Tamandua tetradactyla: one gene and its partners. The protein of the gene in region 2 interacts with the protein of the main gene of each other region in a pairwise test. Links are inferred from orthologs where the notes say so. Each region holds a gene or a part of one and is shown on either strand. Other genes may lie near its edges. The genes, in order: UBASH3B, FAM168A, SF1 and UBE2V1.

The links.
Region 1: the proteins of FAM168A (region 2) and UBASH3B interact in binary tests that used the Homo sapiens proteins (3 or more experiments, as listed by UniProt). The two-hybrid records come from large-scale screens. The link is inferred for Tamandua tetradactyla from reciprocal best matches to the Homo sapiens genes FAM168A and UBASH3B.
Region 3: the proteins of FAM168A (region 2) and SF1 interact in binary tests that used the Homo sapiens proteins (3 or more experiments, as listed by UniProt). The two-hybrid records come from large-scale screens. The link is inferred for Tamandua tetradactyla from reciprocal best matches to the Homo sapiens genes FAM168A and SF1.
Region 4: the proteins of FAM168A (region 2) and UBE2V1 interact in binary tests that used the Homo sapiens proteins (3 or more experiments, as listed by UniProt). The two-hybrid records come from large-scale screens. The link is inferred for Tamandua tetradactyla from reciprocal best matches to the Homo sapiens genes FAM168A and UBE2V1.

The regions. Positions count from the first base shown.
Region 1 is NC_135334.1:18,101,888-18,109,868, forward strand, and holds the start of UBASH3B (ubiquitin-associated and SH3 domain-containing protein B), read right to left. Parts: upstream 3,015-7,981; 5' UTR 2,920-3,014; coding exon 2,759-2,919; intron 1-2,758. UniProt on the Homo sapiens protein: Interferes with CBL-mediated down-regulation and degradation of receptor-type tyrosine kinases. Promotes accumulation of activated target receptors, such as T-cell receptors and EGFR, on the cell surface.
Region 2 is NC_135334.1:72,424,078-72,431,201, reverse strand, and holds the start of FAM168A (protein FAM168A), read right to left. Parts: upstream 3,012-7,124; 5' UTR 2,748-3,011; intron 873-2,747; exon of another isoform or gene 784-872; intron 1-783.
Region 3 is NC_135335.1:9,768,775-9,776,467, forward strand, and holds the start of SF1 (splicing factor 1), read left to right. Parts: upstream 1-4,676; 5' UTR 4,677-4,821; coding exon 4,822-5,221; intron 5,222-6,570; coding exon 6,571-6,699; intron 6,700-7,693. UniProt on the Homo sapiens protein: Necessary for the ATP-dependent first step of spliceosome assembly. Binds to the intron branch point sequence (BPS) 5'-UACUAAC-3' of the pre-mRNA. May act as transcription repressor.
Region 4 is NC_135327.1:2,664,870-2,672,572, reverse strand, and holds the start of UBE2V1 (ubiquitin-conjugating enzyme E2 variant 1), read right to left. Parts: upstream 3,010-7,703; 5' UTR 3,002-3,009; coding exon 2,899-3,001; intron 2,701-2,898; exon of another isoform or gene 2,595-2,700; intron 1-2,594. UniProt on the Homo sapiens protein: Has no ubiquitin ligase activity on its own. The UBE2V1-UBE2N heterodimer catalyzes the synthesis of non-canonical poly-ubiquitin chains that are linked through Lys-63.

The DNA of each region.
Region 1 (7,981 bases), about 54 Mb from region 2:
TCCAGCCTTACGGCTCAAGGGAGAGGCTTCTCATAAGCAAAGCCTAATGCTTTTGCTCTCTTTCTTCTCACTGTTCCCAAATGAAGTTTAAGCCCTGGACTCGGGAATCTCAGATAGCCCCATGAAGACGTATCACTTCTTCCCAACCTGAATTATGTTATGAAGGAGAAGATGGCAGCATCAGCCATTCTGGGTTGAGGCGGAGGAGACAAAGCCTGGGCAGGGTGTTGACCTAGACCTGTGACCTCCAAGCCTTTTCGAGGCAGAGAATTTAAGAAAGATGGAGCAGTAAACCCAACTCACAGCCTGTTTGATCATGACCTACTCTTTCACGTCTTCAGGAAGGAAAGGCAGTGCTAGTAATCATCAAAGTAGCTGCAATAGGCTGAATGGTAGTCCTCCAAAAGATATCCATGCCCTAATTTGTACAGCCTGTGGATATTACCTTATAAACTAAAAAATATTTTGCATATGTGATAAAGGATTTTGAGATGGGGAGATTATCTTGGATTATCTGAATGGGCCCTAAATGCAATTACTGTGGCCTGATAGGAGAGAGACAGGTAGAGTGAACATAGCTAGAAGACAAGAAGGCAGTGTGACCATGAAGGCAGAGATTGGAGTGAGGAAGTCACAGACCAAAGATTTGTAGTGGCCACCAGAAGCTGGAGGAGGCAAGGAATGGATTCTCCCCTAGAGCCTCTGGAGGGAACACAGCTCTGCTGACACCTTAATTTCAGCCCAGCAATGCTGATTTTGGACTTCTGGTGTCCAAGAACCATGGGAGAATAAATTCCTGTTGTTTTAAGCCACCCAGTTTGTAGTCACCCAGTCAGTAGCCACAGGAAAGGAATGCAGTCGCTCACACTTAATAATTGCCCACTATATGCCATTCACTTTTCTTAGCTTTTTACATGCGTGAAATCATTTACATCCTGGCTCTGGGGCCTGAGCTGTGCAGACCTGCTGCCTGGGTCTGAACAGCAGCTTCAGTGCTTAGGGTTGTGACCTTGAGCGAGTTAAGAAACTTCTCTAACCCTCAGATTGCCAATTCATAAAATGAGTATATTGGGCTGCTGGGAGGATGAAATGGATAATCTGAGGTCAAATGCTCAGAATGGTGTATACTAAGTATTCAATTAAAGTTGGCTCTTATGGGATCTCAGAGAGTAAGCCAGCCAAAATGAGAGCATCATACCAATCTGTCAGGACATGTACAAGTCCTCCTGAACCCAGCACAGGAATTGAGATGTCCCTTTAAAGCCAGTTTAACTGCAAGCATGACAGTCTAAGTAGTTAAGTATTTCCTTCCTTAATTAAGCAATTTAGGCTTCTTAACCCTGGCTTCAGCCTCAAATTCTACAGCATTTCCCGGCACTTCTGGAAAGCTATGCACATCAGCTCATCCCCACGAAGGAACTACGATGCAGCATTCACACCTGACACACTCAGCACAGCCCACCACACCTTCTCCCTGTAATTCTGTCATTGCTAACACGAGCCCATGTGGTTGGACGTGAATGCGAGGCAGAAAACCACCAGTCCATTTTGTGGCCTTCCAAGGCCAATCCAACCTGTCTCAGGAGGCAGGACTGAATGGAATGATAAATTCAGGGGTGTGCTTTAGTTAAGAGGGTAGAAAAGAAGAGAGTGAATTAGTTTTGCCAGGGGTAGGGAAAGGGAGACCCAGCATTATCACCTGGAAAAAAGAAGAAGAGAAAAGAAAGCTCTTTCATGAACTTGACCCTTCTGATAAAGTTTGCTGAACTCTCCCATTTGGGTGATGTAATTCATAGAGGCAAAGAAGATGAGCCCCACAGGATCCCAGCCCTTCATGTCCCCACCTAAGCAGACTGCAGGGGCAGTTTATCTGGGGGAGATTGGCCTGGCCTCACGGTCTTGAGTTGACCACCTTTAAGGAGACACCTGCTGTCAGCCCCCCTGTGCTTGACAACCAGGCCTCTTCCCAGTAGGCGGCTGGGACTGCCACATGCACCTGTGCCTACCTCTGCCCTTCCCCATCCCACCTTCCAAGGAGAGGAAGGATGAGAGAGGACAGCTCCCCCCTCCTCACTCTCAGGCACCCACAGGTTTCTGCGCTGCCGTCACCAGTGACGAGAACCCTGGTCCCCTGGAGGAATCGCTTTTCCCCATTCCATCCTCCCTATCAATGAACACGCAGCAGCACCCACGCTCCCGCTCCTCCTACTCCGGAGGGAAACCGAAGCGGCAAGCGACATCCGGAGCTGGAAGTCACTGCAGTGGGGGCGCCAACCTCCCTGTCCCGCATTCCCTTGCCTTTTCCCAGCTGGTCCAGTTTTCAGGACCGAGAGGGTGCCCGAGTCCTCTGACGGGCCCCGCCTCCCCACGGGACTCAGCGGCGGACACCTCACTCCGGGAGCGCGCAGGACAGCGCCTTCGCCCCCTCCCGCGGGGTGGGGGGTGGGGGGGATGAGGGTCGAGCGCCAGGCACCGTAGCCGGGGTTTCGAACCCTCTGTCCTCGCCCCACAACCCTAGCATCCAAAGGCAAGCCTCCGGGCCAGGGGTCTCTGCGCGGCGGCGTGTCCCCCAGCATCCCTGCCCGGAAGAGATGCGTCCGGGGCTGCCCTCGCTCCCATTCCCGCACTCCGCAGGTCGTGGGTTAGTGGGCAGCGCGCGGCGGGTGGGGCAGGCGCGGGGAGGCAAGCCGGAGCGGAGCCGAGGGGTCTGCGCGCGGGGCGGGAGGGGGCGCCGAGGGCTGCGAGCCCGGACACTCACGCGCGGGCTCGGGGGAATCCCATGGAGAGCAGCACGTCCAGCGCCGATCCATGCTTGATGGTGCCGGGGCGCTGCTGGCGATTCCTCCGGGGGGTGACTTTGCTGTACAGCTCTTCTCGCGCGGCCATGCCGAGGGGACCCGGGCTGCCGTACTGAGCCATGGCTCAGCGGCCGCCCATCGCCGGGAAGACGCCGCAGTCGGATGGTCCAGGTGGCAGGCGCCGAGCGGGGCTGAGCCCGCCGAGGGGGGCTTGGGACACCGGGAGCCGGGCGAGAGGCGGCGGTGCAGGAGGCGGCGGCGGCCGCTCTGTGTTTCCCCGGTGTCGAAGCTCTGACGCTTCCTGGTGAGGCCACCGGAGCCAAAAGCGCCTTCGCGCTGCCTCCGCGGGTCCCGCCGGCGGCTCCTGCAGCCCCGGTTGCCCCCAGCGCTGCGCCCGCAGTGGCCCTCACTCCTTCGCACCCCCCCTCCCGCCCCGCCTTCTCCTCTCCTAGCAGTCCGGGAATTTGCAATGAGTAATTTTTGAATGGATCAAAAAGGAAAAGGAACCCTGGTGGGCTGGCCCTGCCTCGCCTGGACCGCGGCCCCGCCCCTCTCTTAAAGCGGCAGAGCTGCTTCTGGGAGGAGGATCCCAAGCGGCCCAGGCTGCCTGTGGGCGGCCGTTCCTGCGGGGCGACCCCCCGCCCCCGCCTGCGCCCCAGTCTTTTCTTGGCTTATCAGTCAGTTTGGGCCTGAAGACGCTAGATCGATCCATCTCGAGTTTCGTGTGGTTCTAGATGGGGCTAATAATGGAAACCTGGCAAAATGATGGATGACACTAATGGATCAGAAAGCCAAGAGAGAAGGCTCAGATAAAAGGCTTTGCTTCTGAAAGACCCTGCCAAACCCAGAGGATTGCTAAGGCCACTGGAGGCCGAGTTCCCACCCGCGGTCAAGCGACTAGACTGAAGAGCTACTGCACCCTCCGATAACTGTGGTCAGTGACTTTGGATAAAGACTCTAGGGGAAGGAGTGAGGCCTCCTGTTCACAGAGCTGGCAGGATCTGTGAGGGGAAGGGAGAAGCGAAGGCGGAAAGGAGATGAGGGAGAGGAGGAGATAAAAGGAGGAAGGGGGAGGAGAGGGAGGAAGTGGAAGGAGGGTGGAGCACGAAGGGGGACAGAAGAGAAGAAGAACCAAGAAAGAACAGAAAACGGACACTTTTTCATTATAAGTGCTGTTCAAACTAGAATGGACTGATTTTTGTGGTAGTGAGTTCCCTATCAATAAACGGATTCAAAGAAAGACTAGATTACCACTGCTCAGTTAATCATGAAGGAATGAATTGCATCATAGGCTGGACAAAACTATTCTTACTTCAAAGAAGCCTCTCCCTACCCCAAGTTGAATTCTTGATATTCTCACAAGCAGTGCGGACAATCAAAGCTATAAGCTGAGCCCCCAATCTTGGGGTTTGTTCATATGAAACTTAATCCTAAAAAGGATAGGTCAAGCCTACTTAAAATTAGGCCTAAGAGTCACCCCCAAGAGAACCTCTTTTGTTGCTCAGATGTGGCCTCTCTCTCCAGCCAACACAACAAGCAAATTCACCACCCTCCCCCTGTCTACGTGGGACATGACTCCCAGGGGTGTGGACCTTCCTGGCAACGTGGGGCAGAAATCCTGGAATAAGCTAAGACTCAGCATCAAGGGATTGAGAAAACCCCTAGAATGAGCTGAGACTCAACATCAGGAAATTGAGAAAACCTTCTTGACCAAAAGGGAGAAGAGTGAAATGAGACAAAATAAAGTGTCAATGGCTGAGAGATTCCAAACAAAGTCAAGAGGTTATCCTGACACATTAAATAGATATCACCTTTTGCTTAAGGTGTAACAGAGAGGCTGGAGGGAACTGTCTGAAAATGGAGAGCTGTGTTCCAGTAGCCATGTTTCTTGATGATTTTATAATGATATAGCTTTTACAATGTGACTGTGTGATTGTGAAAACCTTGTGTCTGATGCTCCTTTTATCTACCTTATCAACAGATGAGGAAAACATATGGAATAAAGACGAATAATAGGGGGAACAAATATTAAAATAAATTTAGATTGAAATGCTGGTGATTGGTGGGGGTAGGGGTGGGGAGTATGGTATGTATGGATTTTTTTCTGTTTTCTTTTCATTTCTTTTTCTGAATAGATGTAAATGTTCTAAGAAATGATCATGATGATGAATATACATCCATGTGATGATATTGTGAATTACTGATTATACATGTAGAGTGGAATAGATAAAAAATTATGAATGTTTGTGTTTGTTGGGTGTTTTTTGGTATTTTTTAAAAAATTAAACAAACAACAAAAAAAGAAGCCTCTCCCCCAGCCTCATGGCAGAAACGTGACTGGGAAATGTTAAAATTCTTTCATCAGGAGGTAAAGGACAAGGGCCCCACTAGGTGTAATGAAAAAGCTGTGGTTCCCTAGGACTTTGCCAAGAGACCCTTAGGGGCTCTTTAAGATCAGGGGGTGGAGCTGAGGTCCCAACTGAAAGTTGAGTGGGTAAAACATGGAGCCCTTGCTGCTTCTACCTAGCTGCTCCTGTTTCAGGGGTAATAATAACAATAACAAAATTTAATATTTATTGGGCTCCTGTATATGCCAGTCATTGCGCTAAGCAGAATAACTGAATTAACGGTTAACTTTTTACAACCACCCTGTGGGTGTGTACTATTATTATCCCAGTTTATAGATGAGAAAACTCAGCTCACAGAAGTTGCGGAAGCTTAGAAAGTTTGTATATGCAGAGCCAGAGGTTTCACCTGCTGGGGTGCCTTTGCCAAACTCTCCATTCTTCAGCCCTGTCTGTTACATGCGTGGATTATGATAAGCTAGTATGATGCTTACCACACAAAATGTTCTCCAAAAATGTTCCTTTCTTTTCAAACTGCACGGAGGGTGGGATAGGGATGGTGACCAGCACTTGAGTTACTTTTTGATGTTGCTTCATAAGGCAACTCAAGGTTTTGCCAGGGGAAATGACACAGCTTATCCCTTAGCCCAGAATTGGTTTTCTGAAGAATATCCGGTGGTGTTTGGAAATGGGGAGATACAGGCTATTGCGGCTAAGCAACTACCTCCTGCTGGGTGAGGGATTAGGGGAAGTTCCTATTTCTGGGGTGGGAGCTTCTTCCCGAGCAGAGGGCATGTTCTAGAGACCTTGCAGAGCACTATTCCAGGACATGAAGGAAAGGGATGGAACTGAGCCTTGAAAACCATACCTTGTGGACTAGTGTCTTGGGAATGTTTTCAGTAAAGGACCCTGGACCTTACCCAATGTCCTGAATTTCTTAATTCCTAGACCAAGAGAGAGTCAAAGGATCTGGATTCTAGTGAAGAAGAGAGAACAATGTCCATGGCAGTGTTTTGGAAACCAGAAAGTATTATACAAATAATAACTCAAATATATTGAGCCCTTATTGAATGCTGATGCGGTTCTTAACTTCCTACACATCGATAACTCATCCAATCCCTCAACAAGTCTATGAAGCGGCTACTACTATATTATAGTTCACTTTACAAATGAAGAAGCTGAAACAGAAAGAGGTAAAGTATCTGGGCCGAAGTCACAGGGCTAGCAAGTAGCAGAGCCAGGATTTGAACTCTTAACATTTGACCATATAATCACTTTTCACCATTGCTGTGATGACAAAAAGGCCTTGTCTGCTGAAACGGCTGATTCTGATGAACTTTTTACTCCTCCAGACACTGAAGTGCTGGATCTCTATTTCTCTAGAAAAATTGAGTTAATTGTCTTTTCCTTTCTGCTCCAGGCAAGCTGTGAAATGGAGGAAATGACGACTATAAAAATAGCTTTAGGTAGCCTGGAGAAAACAGTATGGAAAAGCAGGCACCTTAGATACAAACTGTTTTGTCTGGGGCACTTGTACAGAAATTTCAGCTTAGCTTCCCCCATCCTTCTTCAGCCAACAGCACTTGTTTTATTTTGGACTGCTGTCATTTGTCCTGCAGGGGAGAGGGCCCAGCAACTAAGATTCATTGTGCTTTAATTGTGTTGACTTTGAAAAGCTGGAGGCAGCTTTTTAGTTGTCCATTTACTGCAAAGAGAGAAGCATGACAATTCATCTGACAGTGTATCTCTTAGCCGTGGGGAGGGATGGGAAGGGAATGCGAACTTGCACTGAGATGGGGCTGACACATCAGCTTCAAGCTGCTCCTTCAAAAGAGAAGGCAAGTGGTCATGTCCCCTTGCACCCACCGGTCATGTCACAATCACCCTGAACCACAAAGATCTTATAGTTCGTGTGAATAAGGTTTAATCTCTGTTCATGTGATGGCTCTTCGGAAGTGGCCATAGGATGCTTGGGATGGGCTTGGTTAGCTGCACTCGCAATTTCTGGAGTCTGCCCTAGGTCTTTTCCTTCTCCTTTCCTCTCTCCTTGAGAAAAGGTCAAGTGACTGCATTAAGAAGAGGCAGTAAATTCTGCATGATGTCTGCAGTTCCAAGGGCTGACATGTTGCCTTGGCAAATGAAAGCAGTTTAGAACCTCTGGAAATGCCTTCAGCCATTCAAGGAGAGTCTTCACAGCCAGAAGATTTTGGAACCATGTGCTAAGGAAGAAAGGAAGGAGTTTGGAATGGTTGCAAAACCCCAAGTGTTAGTTCTCACTTGAATTTTTTCTCTGCCCCTCTCTGGGTCTCAGTTTTCTCAACTGTCAAATGAGAAGGTTGGTTTGAGCTGTGGATCCCTAAGACTTTGCCAAGAGACCCTTAGGGGCACTTTAGGATCAGGGGGTGGAGCTGAGGTCCCAACTGAAAGTTGAGTGGGTGAAGCATGGAGCCCTTGCTGCTTCTTCCTAGAACAGGTACACTTAATAATTTTATATCTTAGGGGTTTTGTGTAAGATTTTCTGTGGGAAGAGAGTTAGGGGTATCAAAACATTTAGTAAAATACTAAACTAGATGATCTTTAATGTCCATCATTAAAGAGAGATCATACATAATTCAATATAAGGAAAGGAAAGGGGGAGAGGACGGTGGTTTTCTCTCTCCACCGTGGCGTGTGCTCGTCCATTGATATGGGTATACTCTGTAAAGGGAGAAACATAGGGGAAATGTTACTTTACCTGCTGCATTCAAGGCTCCCATTAGACCAGATATTGTGAGCTTTGTTCACGCCAACTTGCGCACAAACAACCGACAATCCTATGCTGTCAGTGAGTTAGCAGGT
Region 2 (7,124 bases):
CCTATAGATCAAGCCTGCAGAGCCACAAAAGTAATGTCTAGACCCCAGAGTAAAGTTATGAGAATTGCTTGCATAAGTCAGATTACATTCTCATAGAATTATGGGCAACTGTTCAAACCTGATTTTTACTGTAACACAGAAATCCTCCTCACAAAAACACTTTCAAAATTTCAAGAGTAATCCAACCTTCCATATTATGACCATTTTGGAACTACAAAAAATTCTAAGTATTGGATTTTTTTTAGGTGTTCAATTGTGAAAGCCAGGGAAAATGGTTTGCAAGCTGAATTTCGAAGTGTGAACAAAAATAAAAAAGATTTTAATCCAACTAGTGCCGATTTTATCCTTCCCCATTTTTTCTTAGTCTGAGCTCTAATCAATAGCCACTTCATGTTTTTAACATATCACAGTTAATATAATTACAGTCAGAAAACTATTTCTCTAAAGATGCTTCCTCCTTCAACCCCTCTCTATCTTCCATCATCACCATCCAGCATGGGAGTGAACATCACTAAGCTTTACATCAAATTTCTGATAAAGAAATGGAGATATTATTTCTGAGGTTAATGCAATGTGCCTACATCAACACCATCCCTTGAAATATAAAATAAAAATGACTCTATATGCTTATTTGGCTACATCTGACAAAATTCTGATCACCTGAATGTCCTGCAGGAGAAAAATCAAACTATAGAAATATAGTCCAATAATTTTAAATCTTATCAAGTAATGTCAAAAGAGAATCAAATGAAAAAAAAAACCATCACTACCAAACCGTCTTACCAATGAATATTTATGACATTTCCATATTTTCTGTCTTCTCTCTGTTTACATAAAGCAGTGGTGCCAAGGCTCATCTCAGGATTATTACCCTGCAATACAATGATGGGCCTAATTGCCTTGCAAACCAAGATACCAATAAATGGAGTCTTCAAGCAATCAATTTTAAAGGGGGGGGGGGTGGAGGCCCTAAGCGCTTTCTTTCCATATAAATGCACGCTGCTGATTAGAAAATAAATCCAGTCTCATATTTTTCAGTCCCATTCATCACTTCTCAAGCAAGGGACGCTCCCTTAACAACCTCAATCTCATCAAATCTATTTAAATTTAAAATTCCAGAACTAGTTCTTAAGAGCACCAGAGGAGGGGAAAAGAGAAAGCAGAGACATCATACAGAAAGATATTTATCACACTCCATTTCCATCTTCACCCACCTTTATTTGGGGGGTGGGTTTTTTTTCCTCCAACTTTCTTTTTGTGATATATGAACTAACAGAAAGAAAACACACACCCCCTTCCTTAATTCTACCCTAACAGAAACCCCTCTCAACTTCATCCTCTGGGTTGACTTCGCTTCCAAATATGATTCTAATAAAAATGAAACAAACAATAAGATCAAAGGCCTCTTAAGAGGTTCTCTAGGAATGTATCTTTAATGTACCACCTTCTCTGTTCCCTACAAAGCCTCCTATAAGAAACCTCTTAACCAACCACAGCCACCAAAGATGTCCATTTAAGTGTTCCAACCCCTAACCCTCTTGTGTCTCTTGGAGGCCCAACCCACCTCTTCCCAGCACTGCTCACTACCCCTTTCCATCTTCTGTGACCCATCTATTCCCACAACTCCAGGTCTTCCACTCTTTAAATTCCCCCTCTGCCGCCTCACCATCATCAACCACTGCTCTAGTCCAACCAGGTTATCTCAAACACTTCTCCAAAACTCCCTCTTCCACCTTGGCTAAAGGACATTTTCTTCAACATACCATTCCACAACCATGCTCACCACCTGCCACTATTCTTTCAGTGAGTCCAGCCCAGGCCCTTCTTCAGTGCCCTCTGCCTGGAACCTGCCCCCAGGGAGCCATCATGCCTCTTACAGTGGTTCAAAGATCACCCTAAATCCCAACCCACTATGCCTCCCTTCAATCTCAAAACCTGTCAGTCCATTTTGGACCTAACTTTCAATTTCCCTTCCTCCCGCCAGCTCACCATTACACTCCTCTTACTAAAAGCCTTACCCCTATCTGCAATTATTCCAACCTCCATCAGCCCACCCCAGGAAAAACTGAATTCCACCTCCTCTGCTCTATCCCAAGCCCTGCTATTCCATAAGTCACCACAAATTCCACCACCCCCAGGTGGCAAATGCCCACTCCGGTCTCAGATCTCAAACCTTGCCAGACCCTCAGCCCCAGCTCCTACCACCTCCATCAGCCTACCCCGGTCCACCCCACATTCCCTCCTCCTGAATTAACACGCTCCAGGGTCCAGTCCAAGCCCTGTACATCCCACAGTCTGTTGAATTCAAGTCCCTAACCCCCACCCAGCTAGGACCCCAAGCTGTCAACTGTTTCAGGCCAACCTCAAAACCACCACCTTCATTCAGCCCCCTCCCCCATTAAAGGCCACCCCACTTCAGTCTCATCTCCCACTTCTCCCCAAGGCCTTCCCAAATTCCAACCCCATGCGACTCCCACCTACGCTCCCGTCCCAACTAGGGTCATTCCCCATTAAAAGTCCCTTTCCCTCATCTTCCCCCACCGCACCCTGCTGGGTCCCACCCCCACCCCACCCCCAGTCCGCGCCTGGACAAATCTCCCTCGTCAGCCCGCCGTTCCAACGCGACCTCAGCCCCCTCCCCCCAACCCGCCCGGGGGCTCTGCAGCCCCCACCCTCATTTCCCCCAGTACCACCGGCCGGGGCTGAGGACGAGTGGACCCTGGAAGGGGGGAGGGGGGTTTCCTCACCAGCGAGAGGCTGCAGGCGAAAACGGGGGTGGCGGCGGCTGAGACGGCGATGTCCTTGTCTTTTCTGGCGGCTGTAGTGGCGACGCTCTCGCTTCCTCGCCCGTGTCCTGTAGGGTGGCGGATGGCGCGCAGGGTCCTGGAGCCTCCTCCTCAGCGACTCGGCTCTGAAACCTCTGCAGTAGCGGCCGAGGAGCCCGACGGGTGGGGGGAGGGGACGCTCGGCAGCGGGGCGAGGGAGGTGGAGGCGGAGGGAGGGGGCGGGAGACCGCTGAGATGGGCGGGGAAGGAGGAGCAAGCGCGGCGCCGCGACACGTCCCACGGTCTCAGCGCGCTAGGACCACAACTCCCAGCATTCCCCGCTCAACCTGCGAGCGGCCTACAGCCCTAGCGTCGCGCTCAGTGCAGAAGCACTGCGCCCTCCTTGGTCACGGACAATAGAATAACGTCAGCCATCCGCCGGCGGGTTTTGTAAACACAGTGACCATACGTCAGGGAAGTCAGGCTGTCCGGCAGCTTCATCTCCAAGTAAAGAATCTCGCGGTGTGTCCACGCGCCCCTCCCCCCGACACCCACTAGCGCACGCATATAGACGCGCACACCCACGCACAAACACACACGAATACAGCCACCCATGAACTACATTTCCCAGCATTCCACGCAGCCTCCGGCCCGCCTTCCGGATCTTTCTCAGACCCAATATTGCAGTTTGGAATAAGTGTGGCCCCTGCGAAATGCCGGGAGAGGCAGTTCTCATTTCTTCCCCCATGTTAAGAAAAAGAGGAAAACTGGAAGAAATATGCCAACCCAGCAAGGACAAGCCCAGATGGGCGAGATGACTTGTGAGTCTGTATTCTACTTGTCATTCCGGTTCACATGTCTAACACCAGGACTAATGCAGCAGCTTCGTCAGTGGTCTCCCAGCAAATCTTAGGACGATTTCGCAATTTGAATTTAAATGCAGAAAGGGTGTATTTCTTGACTCAGCTCCATTACTTTTAAAAACTTACCTTAGGGTGCACGGGTAGTTCGGTGATGAGAATTCCGGTCTTCCATGCTGGAGACCCGAGTTCGATTCCCGGACCGTGCACCGCCCCCCCCCCCCCAAAAAAAACTTAACCTTAAAAGGATGATCGAACATGAGGTTGTAGGGGTGTGGGGATAATGTATATGTCCATCAATAGAAGGTTGGTTAAATTATATATACATACAATAAAGTGCTAAGTCATTAAAAGTGATGGTATAGATCTATTTATTGACATGGAGAGCTTATTCACAATTCACTGTTGAGGAAACGTTGATTGCAAAATAGCATATTTAGAAGGGTCCGATTTATGCGAAGTTTGAAGTTGCTTCTTCTATAAGCATAGAGAGTTCAGGAAAGAGGTTCCCCTAAATATTATTGGTGATTGTCTTAGAGGGAAAGATGTCAGATTTCAAGTAATTTTTATTTTCATGTTGTCTGAATTTTTTAAAAGGAGCTCATATATATTTATTTTTTAGGCTGTAAGACTAGTTTGAAAAAATACAATTTCAAAGTCTAAAGCAAACTAAAGAAAACTTTTAGTTTTCTCGTCATTAGCAATATTCCAGGTCTATGCCTATCTGGCTTTTCTGTGAGCTCAAGAGTTGCACTGGTAAAACAAATAATAGTGGTCACTATGATGAAAATAAAATAAGTTAATAGGGAGAATTTTCCTTCGACCACCTGTGTGTCCATCTCTTCTAGAGTGCAGTATCAGATTATCTGTGATTCAGCATAAATCATGTATTCAATTACATTGTATTTTAATTAAAATTAAATTATATCCACAAGGGTTCCATGCACTAGAGTAACTTTCCAGAAACCTACAACCTCCAGATGGTTCCCTGATCCAGATAAGTACTGAAACCTAGCCCAGCTATTCCAGAACATCAGATAGTTCCATATCTCTACCCCATATTAGTGACAGACCCTTCTAATAAGAAAAATTTAGAATTGCCATAGTCCAAACACCCCTAAAGAGAGGGATGGAAAGATCAAAGGTGATGATGGAGTTATATAAAGAAGATAGAATTTAACAAATGAATATGAATGCTGAATCATTAAATTGATATCTCTTTTTAGTCTCCAGTATTTTAGAACAGCTAGAAGTAAAAGCCTAAAATTGTGGAATTGTAACCCATGTCAAACTCTGAAATATGTTCTACATCTAATTGTGGTGCTGTGCTTTAAATTTTGAAGCTTTTTTGTATATATGTTATTTTTCACAAAAAAAGGGGGAAAAGTCTATTGTGATGATAAAAAAATATGTAAGTCCTCTAGCCTCCTATATTCTGGAGCAGTTAGAAGGAAAAATCTGAGAGGATCATATGGTAGCCCATGACAAATTCTGGGATTGTCCTGTGATTACTTGTTGAAGAGTGTTTTGAAAACTATTTTTTTTATTTCTTTGCTTTGTATATATGTTATACTATACAATAAAAAAGTTAAAATAAATTTTTAAAATTAAATTATAAAAATTATAAATAAATTAAAATTTTCAATTTTGTATGTTAGTGTTTTTGCTGTCCTGCAAGAAACACCGGGATATTCGAGCTCCACTACCCTGCCCACTAGGAAAAAGCCTAGATTACCTAGCTCCCAAGATAACTGTCCTGCTGCAGCCTATCTCCAGATTTGTCCCATCTCGGTCCATTTATACTCTTACCCCTCAGGATTTATTTTACCCAAGTACATCAGGCACTGTCGTTTTCAAACTTCCTAGTTCGTTTTTCATCCTATTCTTCCGGCCTTGAAATCCTAAATCTTCTATTTGCTTTTCTGAGCATAAGATGAGACTGCTCTGTGATGGACAGGTCCCTTCCCATCTCTAAGTGTAGTATCGACCATCTTCTCTTCTAAACCCTGACTTTACTTCTCCTTTTCCCCACTTTTTCCAGGGGGGGATAGTGGGGCCTGGGAGGTCAAAATTAGAAGGGTGCTGGTCTGTCCAGGGTACAAAGCATTAGAGGAATAGGAATGAAGAAGCTATATAAATTACATAAATCAGACCTTGCTATGCTGGGTGAGCTTGAAGTAGTCTTAACTTTGTGAACTTCAATGTCCACATCTATAAAAAGGAAGGAATTATTTCTGCACTGACCTTCATAAAGCTTTTTACTTTTATTTTTAACATGGGCAGGCACCAGGAATCAAACCCGGGTCCTTGGGCATGGCAGGGAGGCAAGCATTCTTACCTGCTGAGCCACCATGGCCCACCCCATAAAGCTTTTAAAAGAATCCAGTAAGACAATAGGTGTGAAAGTGCTTCCAAGACTGTAAAGGACCATTTATTGTCCAGACCCTTTATCTAATTTTAGAATTCTGTCTCCAAATCTCTGCCAAATTAAACAATGTAAACTTTTTACTCAGAATTACAGCAAAATTAATGAATTCCATTAAGAAAGTATTTAAGGAATTAATACATTGAAGTCGGTTTTATTCGTTGATGAATTTTCTGTGTAGCACACTTAAACAACTTCTAACTTTATTTTTTTCTATATTGACTTTTCACCCAGAGCTATTCTTTTCTCTCTAAATTATATAAGAAAGATTCTATTAATCAGTTATCTTTTTCAATAGAATTTTTTTATTTTTATTTTAGAATAATTTCAAACTTACAGTTGAAAAAATAATACAAACCGCATACAGAGGACTCCACCATACCCCCCCTCTCCCAGATGGATACCCAGAGCCACCAAATTTAACATTTTGCCATCTTTGCTGTATCGTTTTAGCATCTTTCTATTTTTTTTTTTTCAGCATGGGCAGGCACCAGGAATCGAACCCAGGTCTCTGGCATGGCCGGCAAGAACTCTGCCTGCTGAGCAGCTATGGCCCACCCTTCTTTCTATTTCTTATCTTCTGAACATCTGAGAGCAGGTTGCACACATCATACTCCTTGAACACATAATATTTCCATGTTCATTCACTACAAACTAAGATAATCATTTATATAATCACCTTAGGTGCAGGTACCAAGTACAAGAAGTTTAACATTAGTATGAAGCTTACATTCTATACTACAAATTTTTCTTATGTCCCAGTAATGTCCTTTTGTGCTTTTTCTCCTCCATTTTTAGATCCCATCCAGGATCATGTATTGCATTTAATTGTCATAATTTCTTTAGTTTATCTTTATTTCATTTTTTTTTTTAATTTTGGAAACGCATGTATAACACAAACCTTCCCATCCCAACCCCTCCCAAATATACAAATATACCATGTGGGATACATCACATTTACAATGTTGCAGTTCCCTCACCAACATCCATTACTAAAACTTACCCTTCACCCAAAATAGAAACCCTGCACTCATTTTACCTTAACTTCCTAGTGCCCCTAGCCTGCTCCCTGAT
Region 3 (7,693 bases), on a different chromosome or scaffold from region 2:
AGGTCCCTGTTGATGGACATTTAAGTCCTTTCTACTTCTTTGATATTGCAAACAACTGCAATACATGTTCTCACGCCCACGCTGCTCTGTACATACTCCAGTGTGTCTATGAGATGAATTCTTGGAAGTGACATGGCTGGATCAGAGGTGGCCATACTTGTCATTGTCATAGCTAATGTCAAATTGCCCTCTTCAGGCTGGGGTCACATTGGCCTGAATCACTCCTGTGGCTGAGGGGAAAATGCATGGGCACCCAGGATGTTGGGGGAATTGGCCCATAATCCTGGGGTCCTAGAGGTGAGGGCCAAGGGGAGAGGAGACAAGCAGAGCGTGCCTTCGTGATGGCGGGGGATTGGCTGTGTTTGCCATAGTGTGTCCAGAACTGGGTCTTTGCTAAGCTTCATCTTTCCCCATATACTGTATCTTAAACTTACCTGCTGGGCTGTCAGAGAACAACATAGGTGAATTTTAGAAATGTCATACTGCATTAAAACAGCAAATTGCACAAAACTATACGTGCTTTGACACCATTTTTATAAAGCTTAAAAAGCAAAACTAACCCATGTATTGTTTGGTATTCCATGCACCATGATAAAACTCTATTAAATCAAGGAGGAGCAAAGCACAAAATTCACGGTGGTGGTCCTCAGAGGGCACTGGGGCATGGGAGGAGGGAGGACCCAGGAACTTGCAAAGCTACTGGTAGTATCTCGGCTCTCGGGTGGGGTGGCAGGTTCAAGGGGGTTCAGTTTGTAACTAAGTTCCTGACCCTCAGGGGCACCACACATCTCTTGTTATGCATCTGATATAATAAAATGCAATTCTAAATATTTAAAAATAACTAAAACCCCCCCACAAAACCCTATAGTGGCTAAAACAAAACAAAAGTACCAAAAGAATCCTTTCTTAGATGATGAAAGACTGATGAAATCACCTATGAATCACATCTGTGCTCTGCTTTACAGAATTGTGGGTAGAACCCTTGCCCTGTGGCTGCTGTTATTTCTTTAAAAAGAAAAAAACGCTTTGAGGCATAGCTGATGTACAGTAAGCCTTGTGCTATTTGATGAGTTTTGACATATGCATACACCCATGAAACCATCATCATAATCAAGATAATGAAATACATCCATCACCCCCCAAAGTTTCTTCCCTTGGTAATCCCTACCCCATTCCTTCCCTGTCTCCAGGAAACCAGTGATCTGCTGTCACTATAGGTTAATTTGCACTTCCTAGAATTTATATAAATAGAATCATACAGCACATGCTCTACTTTTCTCTGGCTTCTTTCACTTGGCATAATTATTTTGACATTCATCCATGTTGTTGTATGTGTTAATGGTTTATTCCTTTTTACTGCTGAGTAGTATTCCATTGCATGGAGCTTGTTTAGCCAGCGCTTACTGATGGGCACCTGGGAGTGATTCCAGTTTGGGACTATTACAAATAAAACTGCTGTGAACATTCATGTACAGTCTTTGTGTCAATATATACTTCCACTTCTAATGGGTAACTACTTTGGAGTGGAATGGCCGGGTCATATTGCAGGGGAGTATTTCAAGAAATTGCTGAACAGTCTTCCCAAGCAGTTGCAACATTTTACATTCCCACCCAGCAGTGTAGGAAGAGTTCCAGTTTCTCCTTGCTAATACTGTGTCTGGTCAGTCTTCTTAAGTGTGCTGTATTTACTGGATAAATATTTCCTTTTCAAAACCTTTTTTTTTTCTTTTTCGCATGGGCAGGCACCAGGAATAGAACCCGGCTTTCCGGCATGGCAGGCGAGAACTCTGCCTGCTGAGCCACCGTGGCCCGCCCTTCATTTTCAAAACAATTTAAACATCACTTCCCCCCTTTATTGTCTGCAATATTAGCTTCATTTTTTTTTTTTTTTGTTTATAGGAATCATACTTGCTCCTTACAAAAATAAAAATAATAAAGTATAAGGGAAAAAAGCAAAAGTTACGTGAGATTCGTGCTACTAGAGATTGGGACTGTCCATTGTGAATCTATGCCTACAGAGTTATACAATGCTATATAAATGGACTAGTGTCACACATATTCTATAAGTATGAAGCATATTAAAAAAAACTATATTGGGCTCTTAAAATGTGTTAGATAACTTCCAGGCTCACTTCTCCCCCCACTCCTGCATCTTCACTGAGAACCAGTGCTGTATATCCTTCACTAGCTTTTCCTATACAGAACCCTGTGCGAATGCCCTTGCACACATGTATGAGGTTTGTTTTGCAAAAACAAGATCAAGGAATATATATTTCTATGCTGCTTTTCTCATTTAATAACACTTCAGCAGGAAAGGCCCTCCAAGTCAGTTGGTAGTGACTAACTCTTTTTCAAGGCTGCCTAATAGTCCAGACTGTGGATAGTCCAGTTTGTTCAACCATTCACATACTACTGGAAAATCACTTTGTTTCCAGGATTTTGCCACTGCAAACAATTCGAAGTGAATGACTTTGAACACATGATGCAATCACATGCTTCTCTATGGGATTCAAAGGGGGGTATCTGGTTTCCAAAAAAAGGAAATTTATCCACCTTCCTTTTTTGCTATTTATATGAAGAGCCTCATTGTCGCCATAATTTGCATTTCCCTCTTAGGACTGTTGCAACCCTTTCACATTTCTTGGCTATCTGCTTTTTAGAGATTTGTGAGGATGCCAAATCTTACCTGAGGGCTGTGATCCCGGAAAACAGCAAAAGTTAAGAAATCCCCCCACTCTGTGCTCCGGAAAAAGGGCTCACTGCAAAGAACCCCCCTTCCGGAAGTGATTTAGATAAGACTCCCAGATGGTATGGGGGACCGGACACAGACTCTCCAAATTCTCATTCTTCAATTCATCGCTGGACTGATCAGAACAAAATGCCTGTTAACCAAACTTTGGTTAAGCTTCTCTCTTCCTCCAGCACCCTGAACTTTAGCCCATCCTCAGCCGGAGCTAGCACAGTCCTTCCTGGAAACAGGCTGGCCTTCGCCTCCATTCTCTGATTACACCACTCTTTTATCCCACTTCCCCACACCTGGGTCTACACCCCTCTCTCGGAAAGCCTCTTAGCCTAACTCTTGAGACTCTGCTGAACCGGCAGTCAGTGTTCTCCCTGTTGTATATTCTCTTTTCCTATACTCTTGCAATGATCCTTTCAAATAAAGTCCTTACCGGCTCTGGACTTGTCCATCTGACAACTGCCCATTCAGGCTCTTTGCTCACTTTCTCTGATTAAGTTTTTGAGTTTTTTTCAGAGTTACTAGTTCTTTATCTGTCATACGTGTGGCAAATGGTTTTTCTAATCTGTAAATTTTCTATTGACTTTTACCATACAAAGTTTTATATTTTTTTGATCAAGTATGTCTTTTTTTTTTTAATCTTTACTTTATGGTTTCCAAGTTTCCTGTCTTCATAAAGTCAACTCCTAGAATATTTTTATAAATCTGCTAAGTTGTATTCTAGATGTTTGATCATTGTTTATACTTAAGACTATACCATACATTAACTAAATCTTCTTCTGCCTGATTTGAAATACTACCTCAGGTATTTCTACCGCTATCTGGGGAAATTTATTTCAGGACTCTACTACTTTCCACTTTGTTAACGCAACATCAAATTGTTTTCACTCCTGAGTTTATATACCAATGCTGACAATCTGGAAGGCAAGACCTCAGTATTTTCGACAAGTGGGAAACCACGATTTTCAGTCACTCTTCTATATAACTTTAAGGTGATGTTATCAAATCCCGCTTCCCTCCCCACCAAAAAAGAACCCAGTTGGGATTTTGGTGGAAAGATTATACATTCGTGAATTAATTTTAGAATCACAATTTTACAGTGTCTTCCAGCCAAGGTTATACATTCTTGCATCGGCTCAGGTATTGTTTAAAATCTTTCACCAAGACTTAAAAGTTGTTGTTTTCTACTTATTTTTTTAAATCTCCTTTTAACCAGCAGCGTCAACGGATCTGCGGCTGGGGCCCGCGCCGGCCCCTCCCCGCGCCCCACGGTTCCGGGTTACCATAGGGATCTAGGCCTGACGTCACCGAGGGCTTCCGCGCCAGGCCCCGGGGTTGACCGCAAAGGGAGTGGGGCAGAGAGGCGGCCCCGGCATTGACGCCTGCGCACTTCCAGCCCCCGTCCTTTCCGCTCCACCCCCCCCCCCCCCCCGCAGAGTCTCGTTCCCGGGCTCCTCCGCCGCGACTTCTCCTCCAATCCAGCCGAAACTGCCCCCTGGGGGAGGGGAGAAGAAAAGGAATCAAACGAGCTGCAGCCAATCCTACGACACTACGACGCAACCTAGTTTGATTGACTCAATCAATATTAGCCAATGAGGGAGCGCCTCAGCCTCACGTCACAGAGCTGGCCCCACCCCGCACCTTCTTTCCTGGACTCGGGGCTCAGTTCGCGCAGTAACAAATGAAGTGAGTGCCGCGACACCTCTCAGCTCACGAGGCTCCGCCGCCATTTCCTTTCTTGGCCTAACGGTTCGGCCAATCCCAGCGCACATCGAGAGAGGCAAGGGCTCCGCCAATCCGGGGACGCCGATCCCGACCCCTGGCCTCGGTCTGGGCCAATCAAGGCCCCGGCCCCGTCGCCCCCGGCCCGCCCCCGCGGCGCCCTCTCTCCTCCCTCTTTGTGCGTCTCGCGCCGCCGCCGCCGCCGCCGCCCGCCGCCCGCCGCCCGCCGCGTGAGAGGACGGGCTCAGCGCGCTCCGCGGCAGCGCAGTCGGGTCCCCTCCCCCCGGGAGATTCGCGAAGAAGAAGCCGCCGCCGCCGCTGAGGAACAGCAGCCGCAGGCGCCGGTCCCCGGGGGCGCCATGGCGACCGGAGCGAACGCCACGCCGCTGGGTAAGCTGCCCCCCCCCGGCATGCCCCCCCTTCCCGGGTCCAAGGGGGCCTTCGAGCCGGGGCAGCCGCCTGCCCCTGGGCCTGGGGCGGGACTGCCGGGGTCCGGGCCGCCGCCACCGCCGCCCGTGGGATCGATGGGGGCCCTGACCGCGGCCTTCCCCTTCGCGGCGCTACCGCCGCCGCCTCCCCCGCCGCCGCCCCCCCCGCCGCCCCAGCAGCCGCCACCGCCTCCCGGTTCTTCGTGCCCGCCTCCGCCGCCGCCCCCTCCTCCTCCTCCGCCGCTCTACCAGCGCGTGTCGCCGCCGCCACCGCCGCCACCCCAGCCGCCGCGTCAGGACCAGCAGGCCGGCCGGGCCGGCGGGGGAGGAGGTGAGTCGGGCCGAGAGCGCGAGAGGCGTCGCGCGGACCGGCCCGGCCGGCTGAGGGGCGCGCGGCAGTGGCGACGGTGGCTGCACGCGGCGGGGGCGCGCGCGCGCGCGCGCGAGGAGACCCGGGCGGAGGCGCTGCAGGGAGCGCGCGGCCCAGTACTCGGAGCCTGTAGCGCGCAAGCGCGCTGATGGGAGGCGGAAAGGGTGGGGGGGTGGACGAGAGGTTTGCTGTGCGCAGGCGCAATGTGGTAGCCAGGCCTGGCAGTGCAACTCGAAAAACGGGAGGCCCTTAGAGTAAGGGACCCGTGGTGTGGCGGGGTGCTGGGTGTGGAGGCCGGGTAGGCGTGGGATGGCCACCTGACAACGGGGAACGTTCCTTTCCTGGTCCTAGAATTTGGGCACGTTAATAAGTGGCCTGAAAGGGAGGGAAGCGAGCAAGGCCACTCTCCTTACAGTAAGAATTAAAAGGGCTGGGAGTCAGGGGATGTTGATTTTTTTGGCTCTATTTTTTTTTTTTTTTTTGGTGGTGGGGGGAGAGATTCTTTGGTCCACTCTGCCTTAGCTGTTATTTCTTAGTCTCTCACTTCATTTGCTCCAGAGCTCTGTGTCTGATTGCCCCGCCTTCCCTTACTGTTCCTTTAAAGGGTCTTCTCTGGAGACCTGTGTCCTTTGGGAAATAGTTTTTGCGTGGTGAAGAAGTTTCTGCCTTTGTGTGGGGGAAACAGTGTTTGGCTACTTTTGATAACTTTTGTTGAGTTTGTAATACATCTATTCAGAGTTCAAATTGTGAAGGTCTTGGCAGGGAAAATTGAATGCTAGTCTTGATTAACCATTGGAAGAAAAAAATGATCTAAATAGAGCTTTTTCCTTTACTAGTGTGTTATGGTAGGTTGTGTTTTGGGTGCATTCAGGAAGAGATTGGTGAAGGTGGAGATGGGAGGAGGCAGCAGTTCTCCAATATTGCTTTAACTTGTTCCTAATTCTCTACTTTTGTTTTCCCCTGGGGCCTTTCAAGACTTCATGACAGATGTAGTGTGTATTTTCTCAACACTTTATTTTGTTATCTGAAACTTTGTGCTTAGATTTGTTACCTTGTATACACACCTTACATTGTTTTTATGGAGGAAAATTCTAAACATGAAATGTTTACTTCTTTTGACCCAGATCCAGGCAGAAGCCATATGTTTGCATCTGAGTTATGAGGTTTATCTTTGCTAATTAAATTTTTGGTTAACATTTCAGTTTCACAGTCTACCGAGATTTGTGTAATATCCTAAGTATCCTTAACTGCCTATTGGTAGTTACTCTGCTGGTTTATATTTGCATCTGATGGATTTTATCTCCTTTTAGATTTCCCAAGTAAGAAGCGGAAGAGGAGCCGCTGGAACCAGGACACAATGGAACAGAAGACAGTGATCCCAGGAATGCCAACAGTTATCCCCCCTGGACTTACTCGGGAACAAGAAAGAGCTTATATAGGTAAATACACGTTCTGCATACAAATGCATTTTCATACTGTTATTCAGAGCAATATTTCTGTCTGTTGGAAACTTGAGGTTTTAAAGTTTTCTATTTTGAGAAAGCGCTATGTTCAGGTGTACTTTCAAGACTTTCACATAATACATCAGTTTTTACTTAGTGGGTCCTGCATTTGCAGCTCCTTGTTTTGGTCTGTTAACACCATTGTTCTCCTTGAGTGCCAGGAAGGTAGAGGGGCCCACTTAGGAGTGAGAATAGTTCCCAGGCCAGAAGGCCCCCCTCCCCCACCCCCCATCCTTTTCAGCTGCTGTTCAGTTTCCTTACCAGTTGATGAGGTGAGTGCCTTGTGCCTCTGGACACAGCCCCAGTGGCGAACACTGCAGGTATTGTAAACTCAAGTAATTTTTCACTCAGCATGGCCTTTCACCATAATTTCATATTCCTCCTTTTCCCTAAAATGTGGTCTTTTACTTTTTATAGGTACTTTCTGAGGGGGGGACTCAGTTTGAACAAAAAGTGACTCTGAAAGTGTGTTTACAGTTCACCCATTTTACCATTCTGTTGACCTTCCTGTCATCTTTTCTGGTGTGGTTTTTGGAGAGCTATCTTAAAATGAAGGCTCTTGTATCATTACTAAAGGACTCTTCTGAAAAAGGGATACTGCTTCGAAATGAAATGAGGTGGTAGGATAAAAGATCTTAATTGTTGGGAAATTTCAAGATTTAAGAGTGACTGTCCACAGTTAATGGAAATTAACTTCAGGATTACCTTTTTTTTTTAACTACAAGGGTTTTAATGCAAGTTTTACGTTTACCTGTGCTGCTGTCTTAGCAACATTTATTTGATAAATATGATTTTCTACTAACCAAATAAACATCCCCTTGTGAGGAAATTAGGGCAAAGGCCTTTTACTTTTAGAGTTACGAAGCTCTGTGGCTGTCAGAAAACTTCAAGACCAGCATGTTATTTTTGAGAATCCTCATTTCCTATGTTT
Region 4 (7,703 bases), on a different chromosome or scaffold from region 2:
ACTCTTAGCACTTAGTACTCTTTTCTCTGCCTAAGGGCACAGGTCAGATCTTGTAACTCTGCTTTTTAGGACTCCCATTCTCTCATTTATTCATTCATTCACGAAATATTTACTGAATGCCTGCTTCATATTGTTCAATGGCTATTCAAAGGCACTGTTCAATGCCTTCCCCTTGTATTCAATAAAATCCAAAGCCATATACTCTCCAACTCATCTCCTTAACAAGCCTCCCTTGTATATTACACTTTTATCCTGTTCTTCCAACATGCCAAGCTCATTCCTACCACAGAGGCTTTGCACTCACTTCCTCTCCTGCCTGTGGCACAGTCTGAGGGTTCACTCCTTCAATCACTGCCTTAGTTCGAACTCCACCTTATCAGAGAAGCATTCCCTAACAACTTCTCCAGATGTTTGCCATCATACCACACAATCTCCTTTATAGCACTCACTGCTATCTGAAACCATCTTATTTATTTCCCCCTTAAAGCCTTTCTCCCCCACTAGAACAGAAGCAACTCAAGGACAGGGCCCATATCCATCTTGTCATTACTTGCAATGGGACATAAAAGGACCTCAGTAAATACTTGTTGAATAAACAAAGGAGTTTTGGAAAGTCCATTTTAGGATACCTTAAAGTCTGTTCTGTTATCTTAAATCACACCAAATGCTCTTATATTCCACTAGCTTGACACTGAGAATGCTTTACAGCATTTACGAAGCACTCTTCAATTGGTAGGGCCTCAAGAAGTCAGAATTAAGAAGCTGTTAAACCGGATTGTAGGAAGCCAGTCTCGAAGGCTGAGCTGCAATACCGCCATAACGCTGGCTGCCATAAGCCCTACCATCCCCTAGTTCCTAGCAACCTGGCAGGGGTGTTTTTCTGATGAGAAGTTTCCCACAGAAGACTGGCCTGACTCAGCCTCTATCTTCTGGGAGTGTCTGCGGCAGTGTCTCAGCAAATGAATTAACTCAGCACTGTTCAAACTTAAAAAAAAAAAAAAAGCCTAGGAAAGGAATGTGAAGTCTCTATATCCTCCAAACAGACCCACTGCTTTGAGTGTCAAAGGCAGGCTGTGGTGGATCACTTTTGTCAGACCTCCAATTCCTCACCCTAACAATCACAATAGGATGGCTTCTTGGGGTACTTGATGACCTTCAGAGAAGAGCAACACCCTAGAAATACGGGCTGCCCACACTCAGTTCCTCGTTGGTCACCAACCCTCACCCAACACCGTGGCCTTAAACAGCCTGGGGATTTTAAGTTGGTGTCCCTGCAGGCATCGAACTCTCTTCTCCAGTGTGGTCGGGTCTGCCTCATCCATCAGGGGCTACCCATCTTCATCCCGTCTGGGAGAACTTGGCCAAGCCTGCTGTCCTTACCAAAAGAGGAACACTCTGTCTCCCCCAAACTCTGCTCTTCCCCAATCTGATTCTCTGGTTTCATCAGCCATCACCCCTAGCCAATCTCCACCCACCGCCTTGCCCCCCCCACCCCCCCGCAAAGGCCAGCTGAGCCCACCCCCTGATGTCCAACCTGTAGAGTGTTAATCCTGAAACACACCTTTTGGAGTTTGAGCCTCTGGTCCATCACGGGGAACTGAGTATCAAAATAAGTGTTGTCTCCCTCGACCTATCTAGAGACTGGAAGGAGACCCCCCCCCCCCGCCCCTGCCTCCCCCCAAAACTCCCTGTTTCTGCTGTCCATTCAGAAGTGGGGGTTTGCTCAGCCTTTCTTATCCAAACAACTACCCTGGTGCTCCTATTTCATCTGTTTCTCCCCCTCAACTTCCACCTCCAGCCATTGAGAAACTTCCCATCTGAACATACATATGTATCTCCAATATCCAGAGGTGGAAGGGAGTGAGGTGCAGGCAATCTCTGCAAAACAGGCACTTCTAAGGTATGTTCCCACCGTCCAATCAAAGAGGAGATTTTTCTTCTCTGAAACATCTCTGCAACCTGACCTCTTCCCACTCTTACCCGTTGCGAGGGGCTTCCCTCACTTGATCCCCTCCCCCTCCCACAGACACCCCTAGTTTCCACCCTGTTCCCCTCACCCAACATCGGAGGCTTCCAGGAACTGCCCAATTCAGAGCTTGCCTTCTAAAATCTAACTCGGAGGAACCCATCTGTCCCTTTGAATAAGTGCCTGGTAATGATGGGGTCATTTCACTATCAGTCACCCCGACAAGATCCCTCTGGAATCTGACTCCATTTTCCCCTTCACTCATCCTGTGGAGATACCCTTATTCTCCTCCCAAAGTAGCGACCCCTGGCTTCCTCCTTTCTAATCAACACGCAGATTTCCTCAGCCAACCCCATCCCCAAAACCGACTGGAGCCCCTTAACCCATGGGGGCGGTCCTCTCAGGCATCCCCTCAAGATCCGTTTCCTCCTCCCATCCATCCTGATGGGCTTCTCTGATGTCTCCTCAAAACCAATATCCCACGGCCCCCTCGTCACCCGGGCTCCCAGCACCCAGTCGGGCGCTCCTGCCGCGTTGGGGGTGCATGCTCATCCTCTAGAGAACCCCCCTCGAGCTCTCCCAAGGCGCCGCCAGTCCCAGCTTTCCCAGCTGTGCCCTCAGGGCTCACCCCGGCCTACTCCGGTTTCTCAGCAGCGCCGCTGGGCCCGGCCCTTCCTCCCAGAGGGACCCACAGGCCGCCCGGGGGAGCCTCTGGGCCTTGCCGCGCCGCCCACAGGCCCCTCAGGCCCCCGCCCGTGCTTCCGGCCACCGCCTGCTCCGCCTCCCTCGTAGGGTCGCCCTGGTTGCCGCCTCAGCGCCCAGAGGACGGAGGCAGCGCAAGTGCCCTGGCCTGGCTGCAAGGGTCTTTGTGAGTCCCGGGTTCCCGGCCCGACCCCGCGCCCCGGCGGCTGCGGCCCGGCGCCCCCGCTCACCCGAGCCCGTGGTGGCTGCCATCTTGCGTCGCTGTCGCTCGAAGGCCGGCCCCTTCTTCACCCCCCGCCCGGCCCGGGTCCGCATGCGCAACCGCGCGCGCATGCGCAGACGCCGTCGCTGAGGCCCACTCCGCGCACCCTGCGCCGGGTTGTCGGGACGGTTTTTACTTTCCGTTTTGAGAGAGGAATTACCCGAGGAGAGGAGTCCCTCCGGGCGCGGTGCGAGAGAGGCACCGAGGTGCTTGGTGAGAAGGGCTAGGGTGCTGGGACTCGAGAGGGAACGCGTCAGAATCCAGCCCCGGTCACCCGGGCTTTCCCGGTCTGTCAGGGCCTCCAGCGGCCGCGTCGCCGGGTTCTGTGACAGCGCCAGGCGCGCGGAGGGTCGCACCCACAGCCGCTGCTGGCCGCGGCCGGCTTGAAGGGGCATGGAGCGGGCAGGGAAAGCAGTCGCCCATCCACGCCTTCAGACATAGTTAGTAAGCACCTACTGTGTACCAGGCGCTGTGCCAGGCACCGGGGTGGACGAACATCCCTGAAGAAGTAAGTTCCCGCTCTTAAAGGCTTACGTTCTAGTCAGAGGAGATCCACAGAGAGACAACTAAATAGGAAAGGACATTTTTTCTTATCATGGCTATGATCGAAAGGAGAGTAAATCAGAGAAGGGGCGGCAGGGGTGGTCACGGAGGGCCCCCAGAGGCGGTCGCGTTTCATCCGAACCTGCAGGTGAGAAGGGGTAGAGGAAACAGCAAAGGCCTGGACACAAGTTAAATCCAAGAGTCCCATGGGCTCTTATCCGGATCTGAAGACTGGACTGACAGGGGAGAAGGGACGGGCTCAAGGTCCGCATCTTAAACCCGGGAGACGAAGGACGGGGGGGGGGGGCAGAGAAGCTGGAAGCGCTGGCCAGGCGCGCCCCTGCACCGCCTTGTTCTGACAGGAATGCCTCGGAAGCGTCTCTCAACTCCATCCCCTTCTCCCACTCGGGGCAGGCGGCCCTTGTCTCTGATTTGATGGCCGCAGAGGCTTCCGCTCTTGCCCCCACGGGCCGTTCTCCATGACAGATCTGCTCAAAACACCCTTCTAAAGCCTCAGTGGCTCCCCGTTTCTCCTGGGTAAAATGCAGACCTCCAAACTGAGGAACCATGGACTTAATCGTCCAGCAGGGACAGTCATCAGGAGGAAAGGGGCCTGTTGGAACCTTGCAGAGTCCACCAGCTCCGGCGTGGATCAGCTTGGACGGCCAAGCTGCCCGCGAGGCCCTGGCGGCCCTGTCCGCATCCCAGAGCTGCTGTGGGCTTCTCGAAACCTGGACCCCGACGTGCCCCTCCCTCCTTAGGGCCCCTGCCTGTGCCGTCCCCTCTCTGTCTCAGGAACGCGGGCGCCGCACGGCCGCAGGGAGCCTGCCCTGGTCTCTCTAGCCAGGTCTAAGCTATAATCGGCTCTCTGAGGGCCACGCGTGATGCGCCCTGACGTTCATCCGTGTATCGCGGGGCTGCCTGGAGGAGATCCCTGCGCTGGACTCTGGGTCGTGGTAGCGTCTTCTGGAGGGAAATGGCCGCGGGGCAGCCCTCCCCCGCCGCGCGCTCTGCTGTGGGACTTACCTGTCCTGACTTCGGTTCCGCCTTCTGAAAAGGGGGACAATAGTATCCGCCTTTTCGTGCGGTAAACTGACAGTAAAGCGAAGTGTTGCCCCGGAACCCCACGAGCCTGCCTGGAGTAGCGACCAGCCCACGCGGAAGAGGCCTCCCCGGGTGCTGGCCGGCGCACGCTGGGGGTTGTGGTGCCCCGCCCGGCCGGCCCGCACCCGCCCGCGGCTGCTCCCGGCCGGCACCCCGCCCGGCCCTCCCCCTGCGCTCGGCGGCAGGCCCCTGCGGCCCCACCCCGCACCCCCCACGGCCCAACCCCGCATCCGCCCGCGGCCCCGCCCGGCTCCGCTCGGCCCCGCTCAGCGTCAGCGCTCGTGGCGCCAGCGGCTGGGGCAAGAGCCCTGCTTTATCGGGTTGCTGGGATGAGTGAGACATCACTAGAACTGAGGGATTTAGGAAGTGCCCGCACGGAGTAGGGGCTATGTGAGTATTAGCGCCTTTTAGCCTCCTTTTGTTTTATCCTCAGTGACCGTTGCAAAGTCACTATAAAGACGTTAGTCTCCGTTTTTCAGGCGAGGAAACTGAGGTTGGGGCGAGTTAAATGCCTCTCCTAGGGTCACACAACAAAGAAAGGGGGTAAAATCAGGTTAGAACTCATGTCCCTTAACCCTGTCCTACCTGCCGTTTTCCCTGTGAGGCAGGTGGACGTCAGAGGTTTTAAGCAGGACATGGGCAGGTTTGCATTTTTAGAAAGTGCAGCCTGGCTGTCTCAAGGAGACGGATGGGGCACTCTGGAGGGGAGGTGTGACAGACGCTGTTGGCTGCCAAACCTAGTATTGCTCAGAAACGGGTGTGATGCTAGGTGTGAATCATGATTTGGTCAAGCCAGTCATGGGGACTGCTGTTTCCTTTTGCCAGTGATTTGTCCAGTGGTGTGCCTGTGTCCCTGTTCTGGCCAATTAGCCAGGGAGGGGGATGTTTAGAAAGTTTCTCTCCCCTTAATACTAGCTAGGGAGAGAGCCTTTTTGTCCCTTTTCCTTCTAATGACCATATGAGGTTGTGATGGTCAGAGCTGTGGCAGCCATGGTACGATGCTGATGCACATGCCTAATGCCAAAAAAGCTAGCACACCAAAGATGCCAGCACAGAAGGATGGCGAGAGTTAGGTCCTGGATGGTATGAGCTACTGAAGGAATCCTGAGACTACCTACCTACAGACTTCTTAAGACATGAAATAACAACTGTTGCTTTAGCTGTTCTTAGAGGTAGGTCTCTGTTACTGACAGCAAAAAGTACACTTAACAGATTCAAGAAGCTGGTGCAGGAGTCCAGCCAAGAGATGTAAATTTACCTGGATTGTTCCATGGTGTTCATTCAAAAACTCTAATCTCAAAAAGGTAGGAAAACGCCCAGGCTACGAAAGGCGTTTGAAAAAGTATATTCAAAATGTAAAACCTTTCAACATATTTGTATTTGTAGTCTACATAATATTCAATATAGTTTATAAGATCTATATCTTAATTTTTAAAGCAATGCTTCTCAAACTCTGATTACTAGAGATCTTGCTGAAATGCTGTTTTAGTTTCGTAGGCTGCTTAAAGCAAACAGGAAACGGCTGTGTTAAACAGTGGAAATATGTTTGTTCAGATTTGAGGCCAGGAAAAATGTTCAAATCAAGGCATCCTCAAGATGTTGCTTTCTTCCTGAAGACCGGCTGCTAGCAATCCTTGGCTTCTCTGTCACATGGCAAGGCACAGGGTGGCATCTCCTGGGCTCTCCCTTCTCCTTCAGGTTTCCTTGATTTCAGCTTCTTGCTTCCGTGGCTTTCTCTGTCTGTATTTCATTCTTGTGTAAAGGACTCCAGGATAGGATTAAACCCATCCTGAGTGAGGCAGATCACACTTTAGTTAAGTAACCTCACTTAGAACAGGTTCACACACAGGAATGGATTAAATTTAAGAACATTTTTTTTCTGGGGTACATACAGCTTTGAACAGCCACATGCGGAATCTGATGTCCGACTTCCAGGGATGGCACTGGGATTCGGCATTTGTAACAATCCCCCAGGGGATGCCTCTCCGATTGACAGACCATACTTTGGGTAGCAAGGTGTGGACTGCATCCTATAATGTTATGGCTGTACTTTTACTTATAGTTAAGGGAAAAAAAAAACCCTCCTGCTATAGCCTGTATAATAAAAACTATTGAAAGTAAAGCTGACAAATTGTTGACAGGAAGGGCCACAGACCACCAGAAAATGGATCATAGAATCCCTGGGAGGAGTCTGTGGTTGACAGTGGGCATGACACATTGGCTGGTGCTGTTTTGACACATACATGGACCCATGGACCCCACGTGAGCCATGCACTACAGCATTAGGCACAATTGTGATTTTCATGTGCGATGTGTAGATATTTTATATAAAGGTAGATCCTTTACGTAGTTGCTAAAATATGCTACCTAAAAGGGTTAGGAGTGGATGGGTAGGGGTCATGGTGCTATCTGGTTTGTTTCTGTTTTCTTCTTCCTATACAATTTATTTCTGTAATGTTTGAATTTTGTACTTTTATGGTCAGGAAAAAAGGGAATAAAAACTAGGGATACAGGGCAGGAGAATGACAAAACGGATGAGTTTCCTTCATTTATAAAGAGCTCTTGCATTTTTGTCAAGAAAAAAATGAACCCAAAAGAAAGCAATAATCATAGCAAACATTTATTGAGCATTTACTATGTTCTAGGCACATAGTATTTTGTACATATTAATTCATTTTATCTTCACAACAATCCTATGAGGTAGGTACCATTATTATCCCTATTTTACAGATAAGGAAACTGAGGCACAAACAGGATAAGTAACTTGCCAAAGTAACACAGTTTATAAGTGGCAGAGCTGGGATTTGAGATAGAGATCCAAATGCCTTTTAAGCTCATGATAAGACACACCCAATCTCATTCTACGTATTGTATTTCATTGAATCTAAGTTTTACATTCAAACATCTCTGGAATCAGGATGCATCTTACAATGGATGATATCTTAGATTCCCTGTAATTCGCTAAGAGAAATGCAAATTAAAACCACCTATCAGATTGGCAGAGAACAGAACATTCGATAATGTACTCTGTTGGCAAGGGTGTGAGGTAACAGGCACTCTCAAAAGTTGTTGTGAGAGTATAAATTGGCACAACCCTTGTAGAAGAGGATTGGGAAGGAGGTATCA